Linked DNA regions of Drosophila melanogaster. The protein of the gene in region 1 purifies or fractionates together with the protein of each later gene. This does not show direct contact. Each region holds a gene or a part of one and is shown on either strand. Other genes may lie near its edges.

What was found. The genes of interacting proteins can lie anywhere in the genome.
Region 2: the proteins of Vps50 (region 1) and Vps52 purify together in Drosophila melanogaster (affinity purification with western blotting, with the first as the bait; one study listed by BioGRID). This does not show direct contact.

The regions. Positions count from the first base shown.
Region 1 is NT_033778.4:17,737,066-17,746,077, reverse strand, and holds Vps50 (vacuolar protein sorting 50), read right to left. Parts: upstream 6,178-9,012; 5' UTR 6,100-6,177; coding exon 6,034-6,099; intron 5,940-6,033; coding exon 5,721-5,939; intron 5,664-5,720; coding exon 5,346-5,663; intron 5,289-5,345; coding exon 4,431-5,288; intron 4,367-4,430; coding exon 4,035-4,366; intron 3,978-4,034; coding exon 3,812-3,977; intron 3,756-3,811; coding exon 3,645-3,755; intron 3,589-3,644; coding exon 3,265-3,588; intron 3,207-3,264; coding exon 3,094-3,206; intron 3,027-3,093; coding exon 2,633-3,026; 3' UTR 2,109-2,632; downstream 1-2,108. Other genes in the region: sub (subito), read left to right, coding at 1-105; Ir54a (ionotropic receptor 54a), read right to left, coding at 217-1,977; PIG-A (phosphatidylinositol glycan anchor biosynthesis class A), read left to right, coding at 6,529-6,630, 6,700-6,945, 7,013-7,250, 7,307-8,160.
Region 2 is NT_033779.5:5,519,458-5,525,511, forward strand, and holds Vps52 (vacuolar protein sorting 52), read right to left. Parts: upstream 4,442-6,054; 5' UTR 4,360-4,441; coding exon 4,215-4,359; intron 4,158-4,214; coding exon 3,556-4,157; intron 3,494-3,555; coding exon 3,278-3,493; intron 3,223-3,277; coding exon 3,067-3,222; intron 3,011-3,066; coding exon 2,892-3,010; intron 2,826-2,891; coding exon 2,705-2,825; intron 2,551-2,704; coding exon 1,921-2,550; 3' UTR 1,833-1,920; downstream 1-1,832. Other genes in the region: CG7382 (uncharacterized protein), read right to left, coding at 1-164, 226-355; cl (clot), read left to right, coding at 944-1,088, 1,162-1,243, 1,679-1,832; Elp4 (elongator complex protein 4), read left to right, coding at 4,953-6,054.

The DNA.
Region 1 (9,012 bases):
CTCAAAGATGAGATAGAGGAACTTAAGAATCCTGCAAGCGACACGGACATTTCTGATGATCCAAACGAATCTAAGTCTCCCATCGAAATCCTCGATGATGATTAGTTTCTTTAATTCACAATTTTTAATTTGTTAAGTGTTAGTGATTTTAAAATTTAAATTTGAAACTTGATATGTTGCAGAGTTGGCCACGTTTTCCAATAAACATGTGAATGATCAATAAACTAGTGACACAAATAATGATGTGATTCTGTGCCAAGAAACTTCGAGCAAGAATACCAGAATCGCAATTACCATAAATGTTCCGTACGCCTGCCACATCCACTGAAAATCCACAATCCTTAGCGAGGTAGGGTGCTCTCTTTCCTTCAACTGCAGGCTGGGATCCTCCAGACCGGACAATCCAGCTGCTGTCATGTCGTAGTAGTGCATTCCCACCCAGAAGTCATAGAGTCCATTGGCATTTACCTCCAAAATAAGTTGGCTGACGGGCTCTGTGAACAAGGAATTCTGCGGCCATTGGAAAGAGAGCAGCGCCAGGGACCACAGGCAGTCATCCGTGGAGTAGATAAACAGCTCTCGGGTGAAGCGCTTCTGCTGCTCACTGAACAAATTCCAATACAGTCGGGAGGCGAAGTAGGCATTGCTTGTGTTCCTTCCATTCCTCAAGTGATTGTACTCACTCACATTGACCACCAGCATGGGCACACGCAGTTTCATCCATGTGGGAAAGTCTTCCTCGGTCGTAACCAATGGTATTTTCGTGCGACGCAGACCAGCGAAACTTCGTGCTTGAAATTGCCGTGGTGGATGAGCCATTAATGTGTCCAGTCCCGCTCCAAAAATGCTGCTCACATTAAGACCCACTATTCCAAGCATCAGAAATATCAACCTGGTGGAGAAGCTTCTCGACAAGGGCAAATTGAAGGATTGGCCCAAGATTCCGCGTAAAGCTTTATCATTTAGCACAAAGTCCACCAGACGCACATCGCGATGGGTCATGTTTCGAAGGAGATTCAAAGCCAATCCATAACTGGAAACAATAACAATAGCCAGGAACATATTGGAAGCACTGCTCAGGATAAAGTAAATATCCTTAATTGGAATTCTTCTGGCCACCGGTACCATAAGGCAGACGTGGGTCACCTCCATCGGATAGCTTGTGCTGGCCAACTGCTCGACTCGCTCCATTATCGTCAGACTGGCAGGAACATCAACTGAAAAGCTCTCGCTCAGCTCCTTGAGGGCAGTGGCATTTAGAAAGCGCCCGGTGGTCACCTTCTTGGACAGCTGCAGCGTGGCGTTCAGCTTCCACGACAGCACGTGAAAGAAGCGTCCCACAGATCCGGCTAGGATTTGCTTACCCGTTCGTCTGTCCACGTAGAGAACGGAACGCGGAAGCCATTGGTCGGGCATAACAGTAAGAGGGTGACCGTGCATGTTGGGAAAATCCTTGTCGAATATGGTTGAAGATTCAAGAGAGCGATACTCCGTTCGGAAGCTAGGATATAGGTGATATCTATAAAAGTAACGATGTTCATCTGAAGCTAAAAGTCCAACAATGTTCCAAATTCGGCGATGATAGCACGTTTCGAAAATATAGTCCATTCTAGTTGGATCAGAGAAATTGTTTGATATATAGACAATCTTCTTCTGACTCGGAAAATCCATTAGCGAACTCGTAAAGTTTTCGAGTAACGCCAGGTCCTTTTGCAGCTCATGTCCAGGCAGGCAAGCTACGTGTAGCGGCCGAGAAAACATCCGAATGTTTATAAAAGTCTCGCTATCTGAAAGGACAACCACTGGAATGGTTTGATTCTCAAAGATATCCTTTGCCCAGTTGTACGGACAATAATCAATACGAATCATTATTACTGAGAGCGAGTGCTCCGCTGCTGCTCTAAAGATGAAGTCCACAGCGGATCCCGCAACCAGGACGGGTGCCCATAAAACTATTCCTGTTATCACTGTCCACATGTCCTTTCAATTATGTTGCCCATCAGACTTAGCTGCTTTATTTATATTGTGCGGGAACTGCTCCAAGTTGAAGGGAAATGCCTTGTCAAGCTTTTCACGCCCTCGATGATAAGACACAATTCGCATTGTTTGTAATATGCATATCTCAAAATATGTATTCTTTGTTATTTTGTTACAGTTGCTAAATAGTTAATGGTGTGTGATCGTGGGAGGCGCGCAAATCAAATCGATACGCTGCCCCTTACATTTAAGTTGTTTTACAATTATTTGTCTGTTTCCTGCTGCAAATAAATATTACAAATAAATAGGTATCTTAATTATACGTGTTTTGTGTGTACATATATATATATATATGTCTGTTTTCTCTAGGTACTTAAGTCATGGTGAATGGTAAACCAATTGCCAATTATCAATTAGAAAGATTATAGGATAGATTGCACTTAAGGAGGGTTTGGGAGATTCTAAATTTGAAACGAAGTACTTCATGGAGATCGCCTGTATAACTAAGGTAGAATCATTAGCCTTAAACACAATGTTAATTTGAACTAAACGGAATGTTAATTACACGTAAAGAATGTCATGAGATTGATCTACTAACAAAGTTAGTTTGGGGTTATAACAAAATAAATACAATTAAATAATCGTTCGGGGGAGCTCAGATAACGCTGCTTAAATTTGAGCCGGCTACGGATCCGTGGTTGTTCTTCTGCGGTGTTGTTGTCGGCGTCGTTGACATTGCTATTCCATTTTGTATTCCAGCGTCAAGCAACTGTAGCAACCTTTGTCGCGTGCGTTTATCGCTGACACAAATACAATGAATAAGGTTGTTCAATTGCTTGAGAGAGTATTCATCGCCCGTACGCTGCTGTTCAATCCATTGCTCGAACTGTTCGGGCGCAAAATAGTAGGTCTTGATGAACACATCCACATAGGAGCGATGCTGTGGGTACTTTTGGTTCGATATGAGCTCTAGGAACGACATAAAGTTCGCAAAATCCAGTTGCATAAGCGCTCGTCCTCCGGCAGAGCATTTCTTCACATTGGAGAACCTATAACATAATAAACAATAACTATGTAAAATCAGATCCTTCTGAGAAATAGAAAATAAGAACGTACCCCTCCACCAGCAGATGCGTGGCCACATGGGCCATTGAATTCCACACTTGCTTGCTGGGCACTGGAACCTCCTTGGCAATTTCCTCCAGACACATGGCGAAGCTTTGTATGTTCTGCATATAAATGTGGTTAGTTTGTGTAGTGTATTAAGCATTATTTAGCATTTCCCACCCTATTTAGAACATCACTGTAGTTGCTGTGCTGGTGTATCACATGATTAACATCCCATTTGACCTTGGCCATCTGAGCCAGAATGGATGACAAATCGATGACGCGCGACGTGACGCATGTGTAAACGAGTTTAGCCAAGTCCGCAATATAATCGCTATAGTCCAGGTAACTGGCCAGGATTGGACGCTCTGCAAGGGGCAGCAAGTGGTTCAGATAGTGCTGAAGGACGTTGAACTGCTGAAGCATGCTGCGACCCGCTTCCACGGCCACGATGCGTTGTGACAGTCCGTATAAGGTATCCGGATTAGCTAGCTCATTATTTGCCTGCAAAAGGATGATTTAATTAATTAAAGCTCTAGGAAAATAACATATAATATTACCAGAGAGGAGAAATTAAGGGGCCATAGCTTGATTTGTGGCAGAACGTTAACCTCGACCGAGCGTAAACGTTGCTCCAGTCTAGGAGAGTGCATATTATCCGTTGCTACCGGCTGCAAATATCAACAATTAATATATCTTCAAAAGTGATTGTTATAAAAATATTTACCGCATCTTTTCCGAAGATTTCGTGCACTGCGTAGACATAAAAGTCAATGAGCTCCAGGATGCAAGCCACAATCTTGGGAGAGATGCAGTGCAATAACTTGCACATCTGCAGATATCTTCCAATGACGCGCATCACATTTAGCGCAGTGTTGTTTACCAGCAGCTGGCTAAAATAAATTTACATTTATTATGATTTCGCGGTATAATAACCAAGATAATATTACTTGCTGGCGTCATCGAACTCCTTGCTTTGCAAGCTTTTCTGCTCGTCATCGCTCTCCTCGCTGAAATAACAGGAGGCCTCGTCCACAATGCCGGATAAGATGTCCTCCTCCAACATTGCTGCATCCAAGCCACCATCAAATGGCGAACTTTTTTCGGAGAATCTGAGAAAATATCCGTAGGAACCGTAAATGGAGCTGCCACCATCCTGGGAGTGCACGGAAACCAGCTCATCGCAGTTATTATTGCTGATCGGGGAGTTGTTGGATGAGGCCAGCAAAGCAGTTGTCGGAGACTTGTGGCGCCGAAGAGTGTGCCGAACCGATCGGAATTCCTACAGAGAATTACATGTAGATAACTTAACCAGTCGCTTTAATGGCCAATTTAAAATTACTTACAGGCAATTGCAGGATATGCGCAAATGAGTCGACTTGCGTCCAGGACTCGTTATCCAAGAATAAACAGATTTCCTCAATGCAGCAGATATGGTAACGCCGGAAGAACTCCTCGCTCTGCTGCTGCATCGTCTCGATCAACTTCTCCGACTGCTCGCCGCAGAACTCCAGACCCACCTTCTTAAGTCTTTGTACCACGGACAGCACTTGGATGAACTGATCGTATTTAAGAGCCGTCAACTTTGCCGACTGCAGGAACAAGCACACTTTGGTCAGAATGTCATTCCAAACGCGTGACTGTCCCTTCTTCAGTTTCTGCTGAATGTAAATATCTGGTGAATCCTCCTCCTCCTGTCCATACAACTTGTAGTTATTGTGCCACATAACAACCTGATAGTAGGAGGCCAGAATGGTCCAGAAGGTTTTGCACAAACTAATCAGACAGGGCAGCAGCTTATCCACGCTAAGCTGTTCGCACAGCTGCTCATAGAGCGGCTTGGCCTGATCGTCCTGGCCAGGATCGCTGTAACCGCGAAGCACTGCATTCACAGAAGAGTGAATGGCCGAAATATAGTTGATGTGCAGCTGGTCCATGGCCATCAGTGACTTGTTTGCCAATTTGTAGGCCTCCTGCAGTTTGGCGTATTTTCGCCCATCAAAACCTAGCACCATTTCATTAAGCACAGTATCCAGCTGAAATTCCATAAGCAGCATGGTTTCCTGCAGCTTTTTAGAGAGCGATTGTACACAGTTGAACTGCATGTAGGCCTCGGCGGAGCTCTTGCACTGCAGGAGCAGAGCTATGGCGGCGCTGTAGTTGTGATCCGCTAGCAGCTTCTGTACCTCCACGTCAGTAGTGCGCTGTAAGATATTGTATGTTATTCAAATTGCCCACAGAATCATCAATTCATTTCTGACCAGTCTCTTGATGGCCACCAGGGTGTCCAACACCTCCTTGAGCACCTCTCGTTTGCGGTAGCTGGCCAAGATCTCCAGGCTAGTGGTTGTTAGGTTCGTGCGAGCAAAGTTTAAATAGGATCTCGCCTTTTGGCATGTCCACAGCGATTCCTCCAACTTCTTCTGCGTGTCATTGATAGCGGCAAACTCACTGCTGCAGGCATTCCGCTGCTCCAGGATGTTCTGGAGCACCTGTTTGGTAAGAACCTTCTGCTGAGTGCGCAATTGTGCAATGGTGACCTCGATGAGCTCGTTGTCTATGCCATCGTTGAGAACTTTCTACGGAAGATCGTGGTGGGTAATTAAAGCCACAGCTTACTGGTCTACCTGGTTTACCTTGAGTTCGTACAGCTGTGGATTGCTGTCGGGGTTGTAGTAGCACTGTTCGATGCTCTCCAGGATCTCCTGGTCCGACTTTTGTGCATTTGACTCGCTGGAAGAAGTGGCTGCCGCGTCTGTGGCATCAGTTTCTTGACTGGCGGAGGCGTCTGTGGTCACCGTTTGAATGAAATAATCCGAAAAACCCATGGCAGGAATTTTCATTTGACGGTTCGTCTTTGTGTGCGTGAGCAGTATTTTGTTTGGTGGGCGGAATGCATAGCAACGGGGTTAGTTTTGGGGATTATTTAAATGTTCGATGATCTGCTACCTGTTTGTGCAATATGTCCAAGAATTTGCTCTTGAATTCGTCCATTTTGGCCTTGGAATTCTGCATGATTTAGCCATGAAGAAACCAGCCAAAACACAAAAACGTCTGCAGCCGAGTGTGACCAGCATCCGCAAGCATTGCTAAAGCTACTTGCAGTGTTAAAAAATATATAAAGTTATAGTACCTAGAAAATAGGTACATCATTGTCTACAGACCTATTTTTAGGAAAAACTTTTGCCTTGTTGAGAAGAAAAAGCTTTAAGCACTTTTATACATATTCGTGGCACATTAATTTAATGTTATATTCAAATCGAAATTGGGCCCCAGTACCGATTAGCATTTTCTTCACCTTTCAACACTACTACATCGACCACTCTTTGGCCATTGTGCACACTGTTGTTTTTTGCTTGCCGATTTTTGTTTAACATATTGTATTTATTTGTTTATATGTGGTATGTCAAATTACTGGAAGCCGCAGAACCCAAAGAGTGAAAAATGCGCATCTGCATGGTGTCGGACTTCTTCTATCCGAGCATCGGAGGGGTCGAGGAGCACGTCTACAACCTTTCGCAAATGTTGCTCAGCTTGGGTCACAAGGTGACTATTGTCAATTGGGCGGACCACGAATGATAACGATTATTTGAACTGACTATCTTTGCCCATTAGATCGTCGTGCTGACCCACGCCTACGGAGACTGCAGTGGCATTCGCTATGTGACTGGCTACCTGAAGGTCTACTATCTGCCCATTAAGGTGTGCTACAACCAGTGCATACTGCCCACCGCTGTTTGCAATGTGCCGATGTTGCGAGCGGTGCTACTTCGTGAGCGGGTGGAAGTGGTCCATGGCCACTCTGCCTTCAGTGCTCTGGCGCACGAGGCACTGATGGTGGGCTCCCTCCTGGGGCTAAAGGTAGGCATAATCTTCAATACGAAACGTATAGTTTAAATCGCTAATGAATCATCTTTTTGTTTGGCAGACTGTCTTTACCGATCACAGCCTCTTTGGCTTTGCGGACTTGTCAGCCGCTCTAACCAACAATCTGCTGGAGGTCAACTTGGGCATGGTCAATCACGCCATCTGTGTATCTCACATAGGGAAGGAGAACACTGTTCTACGCGCTCGAGTAGCTAAACATCGAGTTTCCGTCATTCCCAATGCAGTCGACACTGCCCTGTTTACTCCCGATCCTCAACAGCGTCCGAGCAATGATATAAGTATGGGGACTTCGTCGTTTTGTAGTATTTTTAATTAACTTATCCCTACTTTTCAGTCAACATTGTAGTGGCCTCCCGTCTTGTCTACCGCAAAGGCATTGATTTGCTAGCTGGCATCATTCCACGGTTCAAAAACACTCCCAACATAAACTTTATCATTGTGGGCGATGGACCTAAGCGTGATCTGCTGGAGGAGATTCGCGAAAAGACCAATATGCAGGAAAGGGTTCAAATGGTGGGCGCCGTGGAGCATAACAGGGTTCGCGATTTCCTGGTGCGTGGCCACATCTTTTTGAATACCTCACTGACTGAGGCCTACTGCATGGCCATCGTTGAGGCGGCTTCCTGTGGACTGCAGGTGGTGTCCACCAGTGTGGGCGGAATTCCCGAAGTGCTACCCAAGAGTCTTATACTGCTGGCAGAGCCCGAAATTGATGCCATTTACGCAGCGATTCTAATTGCCATCGACCGTCATCGAAAGAGTTCCTTTAAGGTTAGTCCATCAGTTGGCAATGGGCATTTGGCCTCGGACGCTAATGGAAAGGTTAAGCGGCGACGTCGCAGGAAAGTCGATACTCCTATCTCTCCTACACAACTGCCAGCAGTCTCTGCTCCTCCTGCGGATCAGAACAGCTCTACAGAGCCCGTAATGTGTCCATATAGATGTAATGAGTTGGTGGAAACGCTTTACAATTGGGAGGATGTTGCCCTTCGCACAGTAAAGGTGTACGATCGCGTTTTAAATGAACGCTCTTTCACCACTAGCGAGCTGGTGTTTGCGGTGTGGCAGCACGGATCCTGGTTTCTGGTGTTCTTCGTTGTGGCCCACTTCTTAATGCGCTTGCTGGAGCTTTGGCGTCCTCGGAAACACGTAGAGATAGCGCAGGATGTACAACGTAGGGCCAGCTAGCAAACACCAAACGGATTCCATTCTTCCATCAACTAGCCAATTATATATTTATGCGATAGATTTTATAACCCTTGTTGTGTTTATTTGTTGTCCATAGTAGTAGTCGAAGTGATAGTTCCCTTAAACAATATGATAATCCATTCTTATGATAAAATTAACCCAAACGGCGCTGCTGATCTACGCCGATAAAATATTCCGCCCACAGCAACGTTTTTATAAAGAAGACTGTTTCTTATATTCATTTCATTCTAGAATCATAGATTCTAGGAAGCTAAGCTTTAACAATTTAAAGTGTGCGATAATGATTTAAAGAGTCGCTAGTCGATTCTTCAATTTAAAATCTATATTTATTAAAAATATAGTTATTTTATGTATATCTATGCTCAATAGAAATTAACTTTTTTTTTTTAAAGAACCCAAAGGAAATAAATAATCTAGAGAATTTTCTGATCATGTCCGAGTTAAATTTAATAAATTAAAACAGGTTGCATAAATCAAATTTCTTTCAGTAATATGGCACAATCCTGCAATAAAATGTATTACAAAAATGAAATATATAATAAAAATACAAAATATTTCTATTTAAAAAAAAAATCAAATAATATACCGAAAACTTTAAAAATACGGTCCTCCGAAGAACGGATTATCTGGCCATACTGCGATGCAGCCCTGGCTTATTTGGGAAAAAATTAAGAGGGAGCAGCAGCGGAGGCTAGTGATAAATTAATTAGCCACTGCTACCACATAACCCAGGGTGCGGAAACCTGAACCCAGCTCTGCGGCATATCCACTACCATTGCTAGCACCCCGGTTGCCATCCAGGTCAAGGTGAGCACAACTGTGAAGTCCGAC
Region 2 (6,054 bases), on another chromosome or scaffold:
TCGGAATATGGCAAAGAACATCACGCAGGTCACCCCTAATCCGGCGATTATAATCGCCGTATAACTGGCCGTCTTAGTGTTCTCCTTGATCTTCTCGCCAATGGGGCGCACATCCGTCGACACCTGGGTGTTATCCTGCGATCGTTGAAGGGATCCGCCACCATCTGCATGAATAATATAGTAAATATTTCAGATGTAACCTGATGAGAAGTTTGAGGCACAAACCGCGCGACGCTTCCTGTCGCAAATGTGGACTCCAGTGCATCGCCGCCGCACATTTTAACCTGGCAAAGTTGGTGGGCAACAAATTTTGCCGCTGAGTGACCAAATTGCGCAATAAAGCTAGCCGTGACATCGTTCACGACGAAATCAATGGTAAAAAACAAATAAACGTACTTTACGAAAAAAAGAATTCTAATCAGCTGTTTAGTTTTTCGATACAAATAGTGTTGCACATTTTCACCAATTAGCGGGTTATCGGGCTATTCCCGCTAAAATGGCTATAGCCAGCTAGAATGGCGTTTTTATTATTTCGATATTTACTAAAAACAAGAAATTGTTGAAAGTAAATTTTATATGTTTAGGGTACACAGATAATATTACAAATAAATCATATATATTACAAATAAATTTCGAAGTCAACGTATCTGTTCTTATTTATTTCCCTTTCATACGTTTCAAAATCTAAGCTCGTAGCTAAAAATCTATTATTTTCATTGGCTTGAAAATGGCCATGTATCAGTGCGCTCGAAAGCTGGTAACCCTGCCATCTGTGATAGTAAGCTTTTTTTACGTCAAAAAGTCAGAAAACCTGATAAATTAGGAGAAGTCCATTCCCCTCCAGAAGCCAGTTACTCCAAAGTTCGCCATCACGTCGCTTCCAACGCTTTTCGGTCGCATACTCAGACGCTACTGCGCGGTGAATACTAATCCCAGCAAGATCATGGTGGTCACACACAACGTCAAGGGATACGATGAGTTCACCAAAAAGATGGAGGAACTGGAGAACGGCGACGAGCCGGTCCACGTCCTCTTCAGTGGCGGCAAGGACGAGAAAGGAGAGAGCTGGTGCCCCTACTGCGTCAAGGGTGAGCATGCCGTGATCCCAATGCGGCTAACCGCAACCTATCCGATTCCCAAACTCATTTCTCACGTTTGCAGCGGAGCCGGTGATACACGATGCGCTGAAGAAGGCCCCGGGCAACTCGCACTTCGTGCATGTGGATGTGGGCGAGCGGGCATAGTAAGTTAATACCGCCAAACTGAAGAAAACAGCTGCGATTAGTTAGATAAGCAGGAATTAATATTTCATGCACTGCGAGACTGCGAACATCTGCTGGTTTCTTTGGTTCGAAATAGCCAAATAGTTTCAAAACACAGGCTTAGTCATTTAGAATGACGTACATATATGCATATATCCCACGTCATTCAGTTGCCAAAACCCTTTGTCATTCGATTATCAAGTTCAAAACATTTTGGCAATGTGAAACTAGTCACTCAACCCCAACTGTACGATGATGAAATAAGCACTCGAGTACTTTTTCACACGCCGAGAACATTCATGATAAAAAAAACCATTAAACAACGATAGCTTTACAATGCTCTTGAGTTGTATTCATGCCGCCTGTTATCACTGAACCGTGGTAAGCAATAAATTAACACTTGTTTTTCACTGCAGCTGGAAGGATTTGAACTGCCCCTTCCGCAAGGATCCCAACACGCATCTGATCTTCTTGCCCACTCTGTTGCGCTGGAAGCGGCCACAGCGTCTGGATGGCGAGCGCTGCTCCAATCAGGATCTCGTCGAGATGATGTTCGAGGATGAGGATTAAGTCGTATACCTTACATACATTTATTTTGGAACTTTACTCAATTTGGAATACACAGAAGACACACACACAGATTCAATTAAAGCGTCCCTCAGTAATTGCTCTTGTACTTCTTGATCTCCACCATCACGACGTGGATATTGGTCAGCTGGGCGCGGGCATTGGGCGTGAGGAGCTTGTGGAATCGGTGATAGTATTGCACCAAACTGGCCAACGCAAGCTGCAGAAGCTGTGAGCCCGTCAGCAATGAGGGAAATGAGAGAAGCACCTCCCTGTTTAGCTCCTCCAGAGATTTCTTCCAATTGGCCGAGAAGCTGGCGACCAAGGCCAGACTTCTTCGCTCCTGTTTGCGCAGCTCATCCATTTGTTCCTTCTCGAAGAAGTGCTCGCACTCCTTGACGAACTGAATAATGCCTCCGAAATGAGGGGCCAGGATCTCCTCGACATATTCCGCACTGCGGGAGTTGAGCTGCTCTCTGAATGCCTCCGCTTCTTTGGAGTTATCTCGCGTGTGCTCCATCAACACGCCCAAAACCAAATCGTAGTTGTTTATCAGGTAGATTAGCTGATCCTTTCGCGTTGGAAATATTGCGGCCATGCGAAGGATAAAGCACTCCACTTCATTTTGCAGTTCCAGAAGCAGTCGGCTAACCAATTCATTAGGAAAATGCTCCGAGATTCCCACAATGGCCGCACTGAACTCTGCGTAGCGTCGTGTTATCTGTAAAGTATACGTATTATATTATGACAAGGCGTTTTGTTCAAAAGAAATGGTTAAAAGTTATCTCTATTGGCCCTCTCTTGACTTTTAGAATGCTATCAACATCGATTTAAGATAATTTGTAACCCGTACTAACTTTAAATCGTATACTTACGTAGTGCGGTCCCAATTCCTTGTTGAACTTGGTTGGATCACAGTCATGTATGCTCTGGATATTCAAGCGGAATACTAGTTCGAAACGTGGCCATATTACCGCCTGCAGGGAGTCCCAGTATCTGAAATCAAAACATATAAATATCCAATTGTGAACCAAAATCATCAACGCCCATGAATAGACTCACTTATCCAATGCGGGAACACAGCGCTTGTGGCACATTAGCTGATAGCGGAAAATGAGATGGATGCACAGGAACATGGCAATGGTATCAAAACAGTCGTGTATGGAGGTCTCCAGATTTTTCTAGGTTCAAAAAACAGATATGATTAATATTTCGCAAGTAAAAACCATTGACTTACAATCATTAGAGTTAGGGTTTTGCCCATGATTTGGTTGAACAAATCTTGCGCTTGAGTGCCGCGAACCATAAAGAACTCCGTGACAAATAGGTATTCCCGACAGGCATTGTCCACTAGGGCGTATTGCTCCGACCGAAAGAGAGCTTCCGCTGTGTACTGTTTAAAATTTGAGATGTATCTCCTTTGCAAGTGTATGTATCACATCTCTTACTCGATTCTTTAGCTGCGCATGTGGCACTATAATTGGTGCCTCCAGCTGCTGGTTAAGTATATCGCCTCGCTTTCCTATTGTGAAAATGGTGCTCTTGTGCTTTAGACTCGTCGTCTTGGAGAATAAACCTTTGGATGCATTATCTTCGATGCCCATCAGATCGTCCTTTGTGCAGGACTCCTCGAATTTGAGGCTCGTCAAGCGTGTGGAATAACTCTGCAAGAAAGTTATGAATTTAAGAAAATTCATGCTTCCACAACTTTGAAAAAAAAACCAACCTTAAAATAGCTATAGTAAATTTTGCCCATCGTATCGATGTATTCACTGCATATTTCCTGCGCCACATGCCGCTCGTTGGACAGGATGAACTCGAAGAAGAATTTGTGCTTCAGCATGGCGTTCTGTGGAATCTGGTAGTTTGTCATGGGCTTCCGGAACTTGTAAATCTGCTCCAGCAGATAGGAGCGAATCTTGGCCATGGCTTTCAGTCGAAGCTTCTGCAGCACATCGCTCACATCGCTGGTGGACTTTGACTCTTTGAAGCTGAGCTCCTTGACCAGCGAAAGTTTGTGATTCAGTACATTCAACTGGGTGCTGAAATCCCGCTCCGTAACCGGGGTTTCCATTATTATGTTGATCATCTCCTCGGACACGGCCATGTCCTCGATAAACTGGGACAATTGAGCCTTGACCGACTGACGATTGGTCAGTTGGAGGGACATGGATACGGATTTTCTTTGCAGCTGCGTGATCTCAGTGCTTATGTTGTTCAAAACGCTCTGGAAGCTCATCAGCATATTTTCCATGCGCTCCAGGACATCGTCGCAATCGTTTATCTGATTGTGCAGGTTGGCTATATTCTGCGACTCCGCTATATAGTCTGGTATTCAAAGGGATATCATTAGAGCTAAGTTTGCATATGGAACATGGTGCTTACCCTCTATGGACTTATTCTCCACCTCCTTAAACTCCTTTTCAATCTGTCGTGAATATTGCCGCAGATCCGTGGTGTTCTTTAGGATCTCCCGCACCTCCTCGTTGTCCAGTTGTTCCGTCATTTGCGGGGACGGCACCTCGGCCATTTTTGTTTTCCAATTTAAAGGTATTTTTCCCAATTGTTTTTCTCAACTACCAACAAAAATAAAGTATGTCATCAAAACAGCTGTTTTTGTTATCGGAGTAAGATGTGCTTTTGGAAAGACCCTAATATTGGTGATGAGAACTAAACTATGTTTTCAAAAAAAAAAAAGATTTCTTGGTTCATATAAAAAATTACTTAACTAATACAATTTTAATTAAAATTAATTTTTGGGTGAAAATTGAAATTGAATTTAAGACCAATTTTTTTCAATTATTCATTTATTTGTACACAAGCAATCAATGAGTTTCTTTTCTAGTACAACACTTGACTTGTGCCTCTTATATTCTACCAATTATACAACATGAACACAAATTTATTTTTAAGCAATAAAAGCTAAACTATCGCCCTACCCAGAACTTGCGAATTAACAGCTGTTTTGACTATCGATACACAATTGGAGAGTGTGCCCCCATTGGCAGCCATCGAGAATAGATAATATCGAAAGTATCGAAATAGAAGTTTACGCGAAGAGAAGGAAACACATAGCAAAAAAGAACGCAAAAAATAAAGGTTAGCGAAATCTGTGCGACGAAGATGACCAGTTTCCGCAAGCGCACCGTGCAGAAGCCAATCCGCGGCACCCGCACCTCACCGCACACGGCGCAGGTGATCACCTCCAGCGGAAATCCGTACTTGGACGTGGTCATTGGCGGCGGTCTGCCCATGGGTTCGATCTGCCTGATCGAGGAGGATCGCTTCATGACGCACGCCAAGGTGCTGGCCAAGTACTTTCTGGCCGAGGGTGTGATTTCCAAGCAGGAGATATTTCTGGGCAGCCTGGACGACATTCCAGCCGAGATGCTGCGCCGTCTGCCCAGACCGCTGACCGACCAGGAATCGATGGAGCAAAGCGAGGTGCAAGCGCTGGGAGATGCTGGCGCCGAAAATGGCCTAAGGATCGCCTGGCGATACAATGATCTGCCGCTGGTGAATTCGGAACATGCCACAGCAAAAATCGGACACCATTTCAATCTGATGGAACAGATGGACTCCATGATGCTCTACAATGTCAAGACTACCTTGTGGGACGATAGCCCCAAGCATCTGGACATCGTCATTGACGAGGAGTTCTCCAAGAGCAGCTCCCCAACCACTCCGTCGCTGGAGCAGCAGCCCGTGGAGGATGCCCCACCGATTCCGGGCACGGAGACCGCTCCGCAGGAGAAGATGCCAGCCCAGGAGGAGGAGAACTCTGCCAACAACAATAATAACAACAATAACAATAGCAGCAGCGTGACCAGTAGCACAAAAACAGGCAGCCAGGATTCGCCGTTGCAGGTGTTCCACAACCCTCGGTACAAAGGACTGCTCAACGATATTCAACAGCTGCTGCGTAACGAGAGCTTCGTCGCTGGGACCAAGAATAACCTGTGCCGCGTCTGCCTGACCTCGTTGGGATCGCCGCTGTGGTACGACGAACACTTCGGCGAGGATCTGATCAAGTTTCTCACACTGCTGATGGCCAGTGTGCGGAACTGCAACTCCGTGTGCCTGATCACGATGCCCATGCACCTGATTGCCAAGTACGATGCCAGCCTAGTGCCCAAGATCCGCCAACTGGTGGACTATGCCATCGAACTGGAGTCGTTTGCCGGTTCGGAGCGTGAAACGCACCCAGCCTTCAAGGAGTACAGTG